Linked DNA regions of Daphnia pulex. The protein of the gene in region 1 interacts with the protein of each later gene in a biochemical or structural test. Links are inferred from orthologs where the notes say so. Each region holds a gene or a part of one and is shown in the gene's direction. Other genes may lie near its edges.

Evidence for each region.
Region 2: of the proteins of partitioning defective 3 homolog (region 1) and atypical protein kinase C-like, one has a biochemical effect on the other in vitro, tested with the Drosophila melanogaster proteins (2 studies listed by BioGRID). The link is inferred for Daphnia pulex from reciprocal best matches to the Drosophila melanogaster genes baz and aPKC.

What each region holds. Positions count from the first base shown.
Region 1 is NC_060025.1:9,138,548-9,145,824, forward strand, and holds part of partitioning defective 3 homolog, read left to right. Parts: coding exon 1-538; intron 539-866; coding exon 867-1,544; intron 1,545-1,926; coding exon 1,927-2,290; intron 2,291-2,455; coding exon 2,456-3,345; intron 3,346-3,419; coding exon 3,420-3,892; intron 3,893-3,997; coding exon 3,998-4,132; intron 4,133-4,279; coding exon 4,280-4,383; intron 4,384-4,746; coding exon 4,747-4,902; intron 4,903-5,273; coding exon 5,274-5,474; intron 5,475-5,716; coding exon 5,717-6,031; intron 6,032-6,176; coding exon 6,177-6,652; intron 6,653-7,277.
Region 2 is NC_060022.1:4,024,618-4,032,675, forward strand, and holds atypical protein kinase C-like, read left to right. Parts: upstream 1-3,365; 5' UTR 3,366-3,613; coding exon 3,614-3,684; intron 3,685-3,745; coding exon 3,746-3,867; intron 3,868-3,925; coding exon 3,926-4,015; intron 4,016-4,075; coding exon 4,076-4,212; intron 4,213-4,274; coding exon 4,275-4,647; intron 4,648-4,707; coding exon 4,708-4,880; intron 4,881-4,945; coding exon 4,946-5,361; intron 5,362-5,449; coding exon 5,450-5,568; intron 5,569-5,753; coding exon 5,754-5,923; intron 5,924-6,001; coding exon 6,002-6,117; intron 6,118-6,186; coding exon 6,187-6,274; 3' UTR 6,275-6,751; downstream 6,752-8,058. Other genes in the region: eukaryotic translation initiation factor 5A, read left to right, coding at 665-772, 837-1,004, 1,065-1,199, 1,283-1,354; F-actin-capping protein subunit beta-like, read right to left, coding at 1,932-2,171, 2,245-2,617, 2,681-2,892, 3,015-3,017. UniProt on the Drosophila melanogaster protein: Serine/threonine protein kinase which is required for apico-basal cell polarity in the germ line as well as in epithelial and neural precursor cells, for epithelial planar cell polarity and for cell proliferation.

The sequences.
Region 1 (7,277 bases):
TGTAGCGGCTCTTCGATCATCGGATGGTGCCATTCTAGATCCGGATGACCGACTGGCCGATGTCGTCGACGATCGGGAACAGTTGGCCGCTTGCCTTTCCAATGGTGGCGGCGGTGGTGGTGGCAGCGGATCTGAATTGGACGAGCCTTCCCTGGGTGTCCCCTTGGTGCTCGGCCCGCGGATCGGATTGATGAATCTGCGAGGTGACGGCACTTCGGCCAGTTCCAACTCCGGTTCACCTTCGCCGACCGATTTCGGTCTCCATCACCACGGCTACGGCGTCGTCGGCAGCAGTCATCCAGCCAGTCGAAAGGACATTGAGGTCACAGGCCAAGAAGCGGCCACGGGTCTCATGGTCGATCACCTACACCTGCAGGTCAGACGCGGATCAGAGCCGGCTCTCAATCGCATCAGTCCCGACGCTCCGTCTACCGCGCCAAACACCACAGGCTCCTCATCTTCTTCAGCCTCCACCGGCCATCACCTCCACCACCACGCAGACATGCCACCTACCACCTCCAACAGCAGAGACTACAAGGTAACGTAACACACATGACCAAACTGGGAGTCCTTTTTTTCCAGGAGAAAGCTCCAAAAATCCAATCGATTTTTTCTGTTTTTCTACTGGCCAAAAACAGAAAGAGAAAAAAAGCCTTGGAGCTTCTTTTCTCTTCTCGATAAAAAATGGCAATCATAATAATAATCCTTGAAAGTTTTCTCTGTGTGTGAATTATCTTTGTGCACCGGTTTGATCCGGTGTCAGTGAATTGCAGTTTGGAATTTTATTTTATTTATTTTTCGTTTGTTTGTTTGTTTATCTTTTGTTGTACATTATGTGGGTCAATACCATATGGCCACATGAGCAGAGGTGGTCGGCAGCCCCCATTGTGGATCCCACATCGGATTCCGACTGCGAGGAACGTGACTTGGAAGTCGTACGACGCCACCCGTCCGGCCCGCGGTTCGCTCGATCCGGCGCTCGCGTCTCGATGCAAATTTTTGGCGGAGGCGTTGGCAGCGCCGCCAACGGCGGAAGCCATAACAATGCTGGATATCGGTGGGCTGAAGCGGCCGACAATGCCTTACTTTCCGCCGCAACGGCTCCGACGGGGGTGGCTACGCCGACCGCAACTACTCCGCCCGATTATGAGGAGACGATGCACCGGAGGACCCGCAGCCTCAGACGGGAACCGGTGGGCGCCACCAGTGAATCGATTCCGCTCAGCGACGGCCATCACCACCTCTACCAGCCGCACCACCTTAACAACAGCAGCAGCAACAACAACATGCAGTCCCAATTGGCAACAACTCAACTGGTGGTGTTGCCTAATGAAGGCGGCCAACCGCTGGGCATCCACGTCGTTCCCGATTACTCGCCCCTGGGTAACGAATTGGGCCTATTGGTGCAGGGCGTCGAGCCCGGCGGCCGGATTTACCGGGACGGACGCATCGCCGTTCACGACCGCATCGTCGAGATCAATTCGCATCCGCTCAAGGACGTGCCTTTCCACCGAGCTCAGGAGCTCTTCCGCAACGCCCTCCAGGTATATTTCTTTTTCTCTTATCTCATTTTTGCCAATCTCGTTTGTCTCAGCTGTTTCTGTTTTTGTTCCTCCTCCCGCCACATTCCGAAAAGGTCGTTCCGGCCATTTGATTTTGTAAACTACCAAAAAATGCAAAACTTTTCCTTTTTTTTCCTGAACGATTTCTCGCCCAGCTGTTAGCTGTTGGCCCTGGCATTTTTGTTATCGTTTCGATTGCTTATCTGCCTGCCCTCCCCTCCCCCCCTCTCTCTCTGAGTTGACCTTGATTGTCTACTTAATCAGGCCGCCAGTCACGATCCATAAAAACGGGTTCATTCCCAAAATGAAGACCCTCATCGAATTATTATTTTTATTTTGTTATTTCTTCATTTGGGAAAATCAGAGTCGTGACCTTCGTTTGCGGATAGTCAAATCGAACGGAGAAGTGAATCGCGGCCCGGCGTCGGATCAGTTGGATGAAATGACGCAACAACAACAGCAACAGCCGCAACTAATACAGACTCAACAACAACAGGCGCCCCCTTCCCGTGTAGCCGCCGTGTCGCCAACTCGCAAGACACCGGCCGTCGTCCCTGGAACGGGCCGAGCCAGCAACGCCCTCATGACTGTCAGCACGAGGAAAATCGGCAAAAAACTGGATTTGGAGCTGACGAAAGGCCATGAAGGACTCGGCTTTAGTGTCACGACGCGTGACAATCCGGCTGGAGGGCTTTGCCCCATTTACATCAAGAATATCTTACCCAGAGGTTCGTTTTGTCGTTCGTTTTTCTTGACTTGGCTCAGAAATGTCAAATTCCGTTTTTTCCCAGGTTGTTTTCCAACCTTCTTTTCTTTCCTGGAATCCTCCCTGTTGTTCTTTTTTGGAATGGCAATCAATTTGACTTTTAAAAAAATGTTGTAATATTTTGCAGGTGCCGCGATTGAGGATGGCCGACTGCGCTCCGGTGATCGACTTTTGGAGGTCAACGGCGTGGAAATGACGGGCAAGACTCAGAGCGAGGTGGTTAGCCTTTTGCGCAACATTCCCAGCGGTGGTGTCGCCCGTCTCCTAATTTCCCGACAGGAAACGGAAGAAGAAATCCAACAGTCGAACCAATTGCAAAATCAACAAATTCAATCGTCTCAGCTTCAATCGTCGACTCAAACTCAGCAGACGAGTCCCAAATTGCCCCGGCAGATGAAATCCATCAGCAGGGCCAGCGAAGAGAGTCTGCTGCTCCTGCCCTGGAAGCAGCGCGAGATCCTCACACTCGACATTCCCGTCCACGACACGGAAAAGGCCGGCCTCGGCATTTCAGTCAAAGGCAAGACGACGTCGTCATCGGGAAATGGCACCAGCGACCTGGGCATCTTCATCAAGTCGGTCCTGCACGGAGGAGCCGCTTCCAGGGACGGCCGGCTCTGCACCAACGACCAGCTCCTTCACGTCAACGGCGTCTCTCTGCAGGGGCGATCCAACACGGAAGCGATGGAAGGATTGAGGCGAGCCGTCCACCAGGAGGGTCCTAAGCCCGGGCACATCACCCTGACGGTTGCCCGCAAAATGCACGCGCTCAAGGATCGTGAAGTGACGCTGGAAGGGCAGTCGCAGGACGACACGGTGAACGGAACGGTTCGACTGGGCGGCAACGGGGGCGACAGCTCCGGCAGTTACGATCATTCCGGAGGCAGTAGCGACCAATCCGGTTCCACCGTCATTTTTGTCAGCGGAAGTGGATCAGACAGTCGTGAGAGAAATCTCATGAAAGACAATCGACTCTCCGGAATCTCCTCTGATCTCCGCAACGAGAGTTACTACCGGGTAAGTTTCAACTTTTGATTTTTCCCCAGTTGAATTTGAATTGATTGAATTTTGTTTTGGTTTTATTTTTGAAGGCCACGCACGAAACGTGGAACACGACACAGTTGCAGGAAACTTTGATGAGTTCGTCGAAATCGAACGGTGGGCACCAGACGAGCGTAGTGCAGCAGGGTCCAGGGCGGAAGCAGCATTCGCAAAACAGCCCAACGGTCCATTTGACGCCGGGCGAGGTGGTTTCGATCGACGGTGATTACCTGCCGCAGTCGAGGCCACGCCCACCCTCTATGATGATGATGTCGACGTCCAACGGTTCCTCAGTGGCCTCTACACCGGATACGACCATGAACTTGCCTTGGCAGCAGCAACAACAACATTCCAATAATAACATTCGTGGTCCCGGTGGTCAACGCTCTGGACCAACGGATGGACGCGACCGACCGTGGCCCAATGCCGAGCAGCCACAACCGCCCCAGAGTCCCCTGTCGGAAACATCCATGCGATCCGATGGACGTCCCAGCGATTCGGAAGCGCCCACCTACACCAGCCAGTACGTCACGTTTTATTTTTTGTTTTGATTGTTTTGGGAAATTCTTTTTATTTGTCATTTCATTGTTTTGTTTTTTTCTTTGTTCTTTTTTTTCTTTTTTTGAAGGACTTCTTTGGACACGGACCCGAACGCTCCCGGCTTTTCTCGCGACCAGTTTGGTCGTCAGAGCATGTCGGAAAAACGGCACGCCTCGCTGGACGCCAAGAACACGGACACTTATCAAAGGAATAAGAAACTCAGGTCGGTAGAAGAACCAACGCGATTTTATTTTCCTCTTTTTTCCTATTGTCACCAAGACGACCAAAACGATGATTATTACACAATTAGAAGCGTACGGGACTCGATACGGTTTTAACACGTCGGAAATATTTTTATTGAATTCTACAGGGAGGAAAGAGAACGTCAGAAACAGACCCAGCCCGAAAGCGAACAGCAACAACAACAACAACAACCGCAAACATCCGCAGTGAAAGAGAACATGCCTCCATCAGGTAAAATAAAAATGACATTAATTTCACAAATTCTCACCTGGACGCTCCGTGTATTTGGTGATAGGCTAAAAGCTTCTTCTTTTGTCGGCGTACTTTTTTTTATCGGGAATAATATTAACTACTTTCGGCTTATTTAACTCTCTCACCTTTTTTTCTCCTTTTGATGCTTTTCCACGTAACGAGAAATAACAAAATAACATTCATTTAGACATTTAGATAATAATCTCATCCTAACCGTGAACCTTCGAATTTTGTTCTTTTTTCTCTCTCTCGTCTACCCTCTCCTACCACAACCCTCAACTCCTCCGACTTGAAATGGAAACATTGCGTGTCCTCTGGCGTGTTGTTGTGTGGGTGACTCAGGTCGGGTGATCCGTCGCGCTGTCAAGCGTCGTCACGCCCATCCTTTGGTTTCGCGTCTGGAGAAGGATTACCTCAGCTCACCCACCTATCACCGATCCAGTCCCAATCTTTATCAACCCAACGATGTTGTTGGGGGTGTTGGTGGTGTGGCTACAGGTGTGTGTGTGTGTCTGTCATGTTGTTGCTGTTGTTGCTGCTGTCCCTTAACTTTCTTTTAATGGCCCCCCTTCTCGGTCTCCTTCTGTCATTGAACTTTCTTTTTACTGGTGACTTATATTTTAAAAACATTTTTTCTGTAAAATAATGAACTTTTCGTGAAGGTCAAAGTCATTTGAAATTGCGGAATTACCCGGAGAAGTTCATTATTGCGGATTAATTGCGATAAATCTTTTTTTTTCACTTTCTCTCTCTCTCTCTCCTTTTCTGCACACGCAAATTAACCAAGAGACTAACCTCGACTGAAATTTCTTTTTTCCCACCCTCTGTTTGGCCTTATCTGGATTGGAATTGGATTTTGGTTAAAATAGCGAATCGCCGGGGGGTTGCGGGCACGGTTGATCGGGGTAGTCGCCTCTCTGTGGCCCCATCCATGATGATGATGATGACGGATCATTATCATCAGCATCAACGTTCTCGTGTCTCTTCGGTGGAATCCCTTCCCCTAATCGCTCCGTCACCTGTCCTATCCCTTCAACAAGGCCAAAGACGGCCGCCGCTGCTACCTCCATGTACGTAACGCAATTGCCGCTTGCTCGTGTGTGTGTGCACCTCTCTTTGTTTTATTATGCTTGCTCGGTTTTTTATTTTTATTTATCGCATCGCGCTGGGTGTAACGCTTTTTATTCCGTTTCTTTTTTGGTTGCCGGTTTGATCCGGTTTTTATTTTTATTTTATTTTTTTTCAATTTTGCCATTTTTTTAAATTTAAATAATGATAACCGTTGTGGATTTTTTAAATGTGCGTGAATCAGACAAGTCGCAGGAGAATAGCCGGCCGCTTTTCGTCCGTCCGGTTGACCCGCCTTCAAGAAACTCTTCAAGGGACATCGGCCCGACTTTGGGGTTGAAGAAATCGTCGAGTTTGGAGTCGCTCCAGACGGTCGTCCAGGAGATCCAGATGCAGGAGGAGGAGCCTCAAATCGGTTGCTACGGCTATCACCGGCCGACGGCCATCCGGGTGGTTCGAGGACGCGGCTGCAATGAAAGTTTCCGAGCGGCTGTCGATCGCAGCTACGACGAGTCGGGCCAGCCAACTGACGGCACCAACAAAGAGCCCATGGAGACACGTAAGCAACCCGGAAGCGTTTTACCAGACTAATGTTTTAATGTCCATTGAAAATTTCGTGAAACTTTCGGGATTTATTCCGGACTAGTAGACTGGAACATTCTTTTTTTTTTAATTTCTCTATTTATTTTCTCTTTGCGATTTAGTGGACGAAGCGTTGGAAGTTGAGGTGAATGAAATGATGCCACCGCCACGCTCTCCATCGGACATCGGAATTCCCATGTTGAACAACAAGAACGAGACGCGCAAGAGCAAAAAGAAGAACGCCAACGCGGCCGGACTCCTTTTGAAAGGCCTGGGCTCCATGTTCCGCTTCGGCAAGCACCGCAAATCCGCACCAGCCAGTCCAGAATCCGGTCATCAGTCATCCGGATCGGATCCGACAGTTTCGGGTCATCATTCCATGGCCGGCGGCCACATGATTATGCCTTCGTCCGGAAACCAATCTCACCATCACCACCAGAGCGAGCGGAGATCTTCTTCCGGTCATTCCGGAAGCATCGGCAGGTCGTCTGCCGTGAGCGAAGTGGACCGCCATCACGTCCTCAGACGAACTCTTCCGCCCGATGAACGTGACCGTGCAGAGCTCGGACGCCAAATGGCCATCGCCGTCGCTCGCCAGGTAAATTGCAAAAAACTCAAATTCGTGCGGATGATTGAGGACAAAGAAGAAGTTTGGGTTGACGTCATCTCGCCTTATGTGACGTCTAAAAGGAGAGGGGGGAAAACAACAAGTGATTCACCGGAAACATTTCACCGACGCTCGATTGTTTCGTCGAATAATGATGTTCGATTAAAAGCGAGTCTCGACTTTTTACGCATTTAATTCATGGGACTCCCACGCGTTCACAGGGAGCCAAAGTTCGTGTACACAGGATTTGCGGCTTTTTATTTATTTTCTATTTTTTTCTACGCGAGAGAGAGGAGGGTTGGAATAATTGAATGACGGGATATTGTGGTTTTTTCAAGTGCACACAAGCGACATTGTGAAAGACACACGATTTCACTTTGGGAAAATCAGTTTTCTTTTTTCTAGCTATAGAGCATAGGCTTGTAATCGAAGAATTTTTGTGAGTTGTAAACCATTTCGATCGTAATGTTTATTTTCCCGTTGCGGAAGAAATTAGTGGCCCCGTTTCTAGTCCATTTGCTGTTGCCATCTAACGGTTGTTTGTTCTGGCTTTAGAATTTCTGGTTTTTATTCTTTTATTTGATTGTTCGATTCTTTTCTCTTATTCTTTTTACAG
Region 2 (8,058 bases), on another chromosome or scaffold:
CTAGCGTTCTTCATTTGTCTACGTTGTTGTTGCCTAGGGGGCTAGCGGTGGCGCTGTTCCACCACGGCGCCATCTATCTAGCTGGTGCCAGGCAATAGACTCCGAATTGTCTTTCCCGTGCCGCTCGTGGCAGAACGTAAGTATTGAATTGATATTCTACCTTTTTCCTTAGTCTTATTTCGCATATTGATATCGGTAATTGTAGTTAGTTTAATAGCCAAAGTCTCCGTTACAAATTTGTGTTCACTTTAATCGTGTTGTTGACGTTTGTATTTCTGATAGTTGTGTTTTTTGGGCTTGGTAAACGCTGGTGGTCGAAGTAGGAATGACACATGGCACATGAGGTTACTTTGGGCGCCATGTTGGGATTTTAACCGGCCTTTTCCACATATTATTGTTGCATATTCATTAGCCTACAGTAGTGTTCTCATGTAATTGGATTCCATATCCTTATTCCTTTTTTTCAGTTATATTTCTTTGGGTATTTAGTACTGTTGTCAAATTAAACTTAACGCCGTTGTAATAACTATAGTAGTCAGCTGCTGCGGCAGTGATCAATATAGAAGATAGTACTGAAATCGCTACCCCATTGATGTGAATGTTTCTAATCACTTTCTTTTTGTCACAGTGATTCTATATATCCATTCCCCTGAACTTGTACAACATGGCAGAGCTTGAAGACACTCAGTTCGAGTCAGGGGATTCTGGAGCTTCAGCAACATTTCCCATGCAATGCTCTGCTCTTCGCAAGAACGGTTTCGTCATGTTGAAGGTGATTATATAATAATAGAAATTATTTTAATCTTCATTGTACTTAAAGTGAATTTCATTTGAAGGCAAGGCCTTGCAAGATTGTTGAGATGTCCACATCCAAGACTGGCAAACATGGCCACGCCAAGGTTCACATGGTTGGTATCGACATTTTCAATGGCAAGAAACTTGAAGATATTTGCCCTTCCACCCACAACATGGATGTCCCTGTTGTCAAGAGGGAGGATTTCACTGTAATATAAAATTACAACTTTGATTATGTTAGTTTGGAATTAACAAAATTTTTGTTTTAGCTCATTGACATATCTGGTGATGGCTTTCTTTCAATGATGAATGACAACGGAGATTTGCGTGAAGATCTCAAGGTTCCAGAAGGAGACTTGGGTAACCAAATCAGGGCTGATTTCGAAAATGGTCGCGAACTTCTGGTAAGCTAATTTTACCCTATGCGATGTATTGTTCAATTTGATATTAAGAGTGGATGTATAATCACCTGTTTTTTCTTCTATAGTGTACCGTTTTGAAAGCCTGCGGCGAAGAGTGTGTGATTGCCGTTAAAGCCAACACAGCTGCCGAAAAGTAATTCACACAAATTTGTGAAGTTTCACTTCCAACTGGTTACCAATAAAAATGGAGAGAAACACAAAAAAATAAACGGGAAACAGCTGTGGATATTGGATTTAAATTCTACTTTCTTTCTTTTAATTTTGCCTACTACCGATTGATGTAAATCGTGGGGAGAAATGGGTATCTTGACCTTGTTGCCTCGTTTCATTGGATAAGTCCATCTCTTGTTCTGGTTTATTATTGCCTCCCCCGTTCGACCCAATGGGTCAATAGACAGACTTGTTAATGAACACTACGCTATTCTGCAGTTGATTGCAAGATAGTTGTTTAACCTAAACCTTACTCATACCCATTTCCCATGCAGCAAAACGAAAGAGTTCAATAAACCAATTTCAAGCACTTCAAAAATAATGGAGCCTTAAATTTAACGATTTTTACTTCAAACTTTTATTTTCCAATCACTCAACATGTGAATTGAAGCAAAACGGGCAACAACTTGATTGGGTAATGGATGTTATACTTTACAGGAGGGGAAAAACTTGGTTGAATAAGGGAAATAATAGGAAAATGCAATTTATAATATTATGTATCAGTTAAGGATCGCTTTTTCCTTGTCTTTTCTGCAAAGCATTAGCCAGATCTTCGCTGAAAGCCTGCTTTTGCTTTTGATCGGCCAAAGGCTGAATGGAACGCAGCCCGTTGACAATATCCTTAGTCTTACCGAAGTAAATTTCATTCAAAGTGTGCCTAATTTTGTTCTCCATATCTTCGACAAGACGACCCATGTTTACGATGTGCGACGTAGGCTCGCTTACTGTTCCGTCTTGCTCCATCTAACACGAGAGAAAAAATCGGTTCAATTTAAGGGAAATATCTCATGGTCATAAAAGTAAACAATAATATTACCTGACGCGTTAAGCTTCCACCAAGGTTCATCGTTCCGGAACCGGGACGACTGGTCTGCAGCCATAGCATGACTGTCGACGTAAGCTTATAGTGAGCCGAACGGCCGGTAGACTTTTCTTGCACTTCAATGACATGAATCGAATCCCAGCACCCTTTAATATTTCGAGCGCCATCACCAGCTCGTTTTATAAGAATGACTCCAGCAAATCCATGATCCAGGTCCCATAGGTACACAGAGGAGACTCCACCCTCAAAATACATCTGACGGTATTGATCAAATGCAGCATTGGCCTCTACTTCCAATCTACGTAGCCTGTCCGTGGGCAGTGTTCCATCTTCAAGAGGTGGTTCATAGGTGTTGCTCCATGGAGAACTGACAGATCAACATTTGTTATTATTAGGGTCAAGTTTTCAACACAACTGTAAATACTGTTACCGATAAGAATCTCCATCACGGTTATAATCACAGAGAAGATAATCTTTTCCTTCTCTCTTATCACGTGCAATTTTAAGTGGTTGATCCACTGATGATAGAAGATCCTCACACAGTTCAGGAACTAGGTCAATCAGGTCACTCAGGTTTTTTTCAATTTGCTGAGGAGGGAGACGTCGCATTAAGTCCAACGCTCGGTTCAATTGCTCCTCCGTCTGCAGAAACAAATAACAAGAGAAATATTATTAGACAAGTCAAATGTCAAATAAAATTTTCACTCTGAAATTGGAGGTTTAATACTAGCCGAAAATATGAATAAATTCGATTTTTAACTTACCATTGTTCAAAATGGACAGAAACGACAAACTTTTGAGATAATAAAATGGAACTGAAAAGGATTTCCGGCCTTTTTTCCCAGGAAAAACCAAAAAATGGGCGAGGTGAAAAATGAGTGGCGGTGACAAACAGAAATGTATGTTCTGAATCCGAAGTTGCGCTAAGCAATGAAAATCTCTGCCTGCTGGGAAATAAAAAAACGGTTGCGGATTCGAATTAGAATTCGAGATAAATCCACATATTAAATGACGGAAGTGTTGTTGGTCATTAAATAATAGCTGAGAATATTTAAAAAACAATTACAAAAACGATTTTTCTTTAAAATCAATCAAGTTTTGATCAATCTCGGAGAACGCCTCCTGGCGGCTGCATAGAAGGTTAATCCTCGAAACGTCAGTTTTGCCAGTATTAACCGCCTGACTCATATTTTTAGGTTAAAACTAAAAGTGTTTTCTGTTAGAAGTTTAAAGAAGTTATAGTGGAATCGTGGTTCACAATCAGTGATAGCCTCAAATGGTTACAATAGTCCGGCTGCCGTGAGGACTTGTTTGTAATTTTGAGGAAACGGCCAATTTGTGCCCAACCCACCTGTTGTTTTAAATGACGATGCCCACCACCCTCGTGAGTGATGGGGAAAAGGCCGAAATCAAAGTCAAGGCAGCTTTCAGCGGGTATACTTCATGTTTTTTTTTTCAATCTTTGTATGTACTTACCTCATTAGTTATTTTGCAGGAAAATTCTCGTGACTTACATAAACTCTGAGATCCTGTTGGATGATCTCCAAAATGAGATGCGAGCCATTTGCCAGTTTTCTCCTGATCAAGAGTTTACCATGAAATGGATTGACGAAGAAGGTTGTACAACACATACAATCCACACAGTTTTCTTTTACTATGATTTACATCCCTTTAGGTGATCCATGTACTATCTCTTCACAAGTTGAAATTGATGAAGCTATTCGTCTGTATGAAGTGAACAACGATTCAGAAATCACTATTCATGGTATTTTTTAATTCTACTTGTGTATAAACTTGAAATTTAATTACTCTTTTTAAAATTCAGTTTTCCCTAGTGTCCCTGTGTCACCAGGGCTTCCATGTTTTGGAGAAGATAAAAGTATTTATCGACGTGGTGCTCGTAGATGGCGGAAACTGTACAGAGTCAATGGACATCTTTTCCAGGCAAAACGTTTCAATCGCGTAAGTTTATCCATGCAACACCATTGATTCCCAGTAATCCTTACTTTCCATTTTTATGACAGAGAGCTTCTTGCGCTTACTGTCACGACCGTATCTGGGGTCTAGGTCGGCAAGGATTCAAATGCATTCAGTGCAAGCTGCTCATCCACAAAAAGTGCCACAAGCTTATCAAGATCAGTTGCAACACGGAGCAAGTGGCCGCTCTGAACACTCCATCCCAGGTTCATCTACTGTCAAATAGCGCGCTCAATACCAGTTCAGGGTCCGCAGTGACCGCTGCTGCTATTCCATCTATAAGCCCTGTTGTTAATGCCGGAGAACCCCCGACAGCGCTGCGACAGAATGGTGATGGTACCGAAGCACCGTCCGCACCGCCAATAGTACAACCTATTTTTGAGTCTCACAGTGTGAGTGTTCCGGTTGATGGAAGTCCAGGTACTTTATATTTCCATACAAAACAATTCAGATTTTTAATTGTATACTTTAAAATATTAGAAGAAGGTGTCGAAGGTGGTGCTGTTCAACGTCCGTATTCGATGGCGGATTTTGAATTGATTCGTGTGATTGGTCGTGGTTCTTATGCTAAAGTGTTGATGGTTGAATTACGACGAACTCGTCGGGTTTACGCCATGAAAGTAATCAAAAAGGAACTTGTTACCGATGATGAGGTATAAGAAAATTGATTCTTTGATTTTATCAACAACTTCTTCTAATTGAACAACTCGACTTTCAGGATATTGACTGGGTTCAAACGGAAAAACATGTCTTTGAGACGGCATCCAACCATCCTTTCTTGGTTGGCTTGCATTCGTGTTTCCAGACGACGTCACGCCTTTTCTTTGTCATCGAATTCGTACGTGGTGGTGATTTAATGTTCCACATGCAGCGCCAAAGGCGACTTCCTGAGGAGCACGCTCGATTCTATTCGGCTGAAATTTCTTTGGCGCTCAATTTCCTACACGAGAAAGGAATTATTTACCGTGATCTGAAGCTAGATAACGTCCTACTGGACCATGAAGGTCATATCAAACTCACCGACTACGGAATGTGCAAAGAGGGCATCCGTCCGGGTGATACCACGTCTACCTTTTGTGGTACGCCCAACTATATCGCTCCTGAAATTCTGCGCGGAGAAGACTACAGTTTCAGGTAATGTTTACAAATTAAACCCAATAGAATCTGGAACGCTAACTCCCCTGTAGCGAAAATGTCTAACCTTTTTCTTCGTTTTTATCAGTGTGGATTGGTGGGCGCTGGGTGTATTGTTGTATGAAATGTTGGCCGGTCGTTCACCTTTCGACATCGTCGGCGCTTCAGAGAATCCTGACCAAAACACTGAAGATTATCTGTTTCACGGTAGAGCTTCATCTTGTCTTCTTTATTATAATATTTGCTTTGTGGAAACTCGCGAGTCCATTTGATAAAGTTCGCAAGAAAAACGGGGTCTTATCAAGATCGCGTGACCTTTTTCCACTTGAGAGGATTGTAAATGTGTTGTTTGTAAAACATTGTGTGTTTTTTCTTTTCTTTTCATATTGCAGTCATCCTGGAAAAGACGATTCGCATTCCCAGGTCGTTATCTGTGAAGGCTTCTTCTGTCCTCAAAGGGTTTCTTAATAAGAATCCAGCTGATCGTTTGGGTTGTCGAAAAGAAACGGGCTTTGTCGATATCGTCCATCATCCATTCTTTAAATCAGTCGACTGGGAAATGGTATGAACATCTCTCTCTTTTACACGTTTAATCCACATTCTAGGAACAGATTACTAATCTTTTTTCATACGTGCACAGTTGGAGAAGAAACAAGTGGCTCCACCTTACGTGCCTCGTCTAGATTCCGACCGTGATCTGGCTCACTTTCCACCCGAGTTCACAGACGAACCAGTCCAACTGACACCCGACGATCAGTAAGTGATGGATCGTCTGTCGATTAAGAATCGATTTTTATTTTTGTTTTATTTTTTGTTGCTTTGCAGGACGGTCATTGAACGCATCGATCAGTCTGAGTTTGAAGGTTTCGAGTACGTCAATCCTTTGCTCATGTCATTGGAAGACTGCGTCTAGGATTAGAATAGAAAACGAAGCATTCGCTTTCATGCCATTATAAGATTTACACTAAAAATTGGAACCACACACACACATGTTTCATAGGGAAAGTTTGGCAGGTTTCACGGCAGCAAAAATTCTAACAGCCTACCATTTCTTCTCTTTCGTTTTTTTCCCCCTCCCCTTTTCACCATCAGTTTATTCGGTCCAGTATTTTTAAATATGATAGATCAAGTCTTAATCGACTTTGCGTCCATTCCAGTTCTTGCCTCATTGGAACATCTTTCTTTCCCTCCGTCACCTTTTCGATCTGTTGTACAACTGCCTTCATCTCTTTTGTCTTCTTTTCTTTTTGTGTCACTTTTAAAAGCCATTTTGTTTTGGTCACTTTTAGCCAAAAAGAAAATCTCTGTCTGGTTAATTATTATATTTCCGCCTTACACAGATCGCCTTTTTCCGTCTTGTTAGAAATATACAAGAAAGATGTCGACACAATCAGCTAGATGGCATCCACAGTCAAGAAATGGTGGTGGCCTTTTAATATTATAATTGGTGAAACCTGTTGTTGTTCGATGGGAAAGGCATTTCTACGGTACGACGTGCCGTTAGCACAATCGTTGGTTGTCTTTATGCTAAACGATGTAATGCAGAGGAAAAAGGGGTTTATTACTAAATATCGATGAGAGAAAAGTAGTTTTTATCACGCACGAAACCACTCGTTTATTGGTTGAAATTTTTCGAACGAAGAAAGGAAAGAAAAAAAAAGCGTGTAGGAGGAAGTCGTTGTCGGACATTTCTTTTCTAGAAAGAAACGAACATCGACCGTTTTGCGGTTGGATTCCCCTATACATTTAAAGAGATACACACACACAAACTCGTCTTGTGTGTGTGTGTAAAGGAATAAAGAAAACCCCAGAAAACATTTTACGCTCTCTATTTTTATTCTTTCGGGGCCGCGGAAAATGTCCCTCACCCTATGGTGTTTTCTTATCCTTTTTTTCCCATTGCGCATTCTTTTAATTTCGATGAAAAAGGTTCTTTTATGGAAATATTTATAAAAGAATCAGCCCCTCTCTCTCCCCCCCTTAATAAAAACAAAATCAGGTTTATATCCTTGTTTTGTTTAAGAAGGATATCTTTTAGATTAGACAAATTTTCGTAATCAAGATTTCACACACACAATCAAGTTTTAGTCGAGTTTCGTTTTTTTTTTCATTTTTGTGGTTGCAGGCGGAGCGACACAACCCAAAAAGTTATACCGTTACATTTGTTACGTCTCGGGCTCTTTTTTCTTAACACACGTAGACCTTGGGTGCCAAAATGGCCTCCGGCTACTTAAAGGTCGTATTAAGCGTACTTGTAAATAATAAAAATGCTGCTGCATTTTAAAAATGTAGGTATAAACCTACGACAGACGCTTTCGTGATAACTTGGCATCCATTTGGCTGCCACATGTTTATTTGACTCGTATTTCCACGATGTTAGTCAAGAATTCAGTCGGAGAGAAAAGAAAAAAAAGGACACATAAATTCATGTTTTGGTAGCACGTGGAGGGGGTACACACACACACACACACTGAAAATCCAATCGGCGCCATGTTTTTTTCTTTTCTCCCGAACGCGAGGAATTCTCCAATCGATCGACAAACGTCCTTGAACCAGAATAATTGAAAAACACAATTTTGGGCGAGCGTGTTTGCCCTTTGCTAGGCAACAGTGTCCGCCGGTGTACTTTGCCTTCCTGTCTAATATCTGGTCTATGGCTGCTGTTACGTAAAACAAAGTGTTGAATTTATCTGCTGA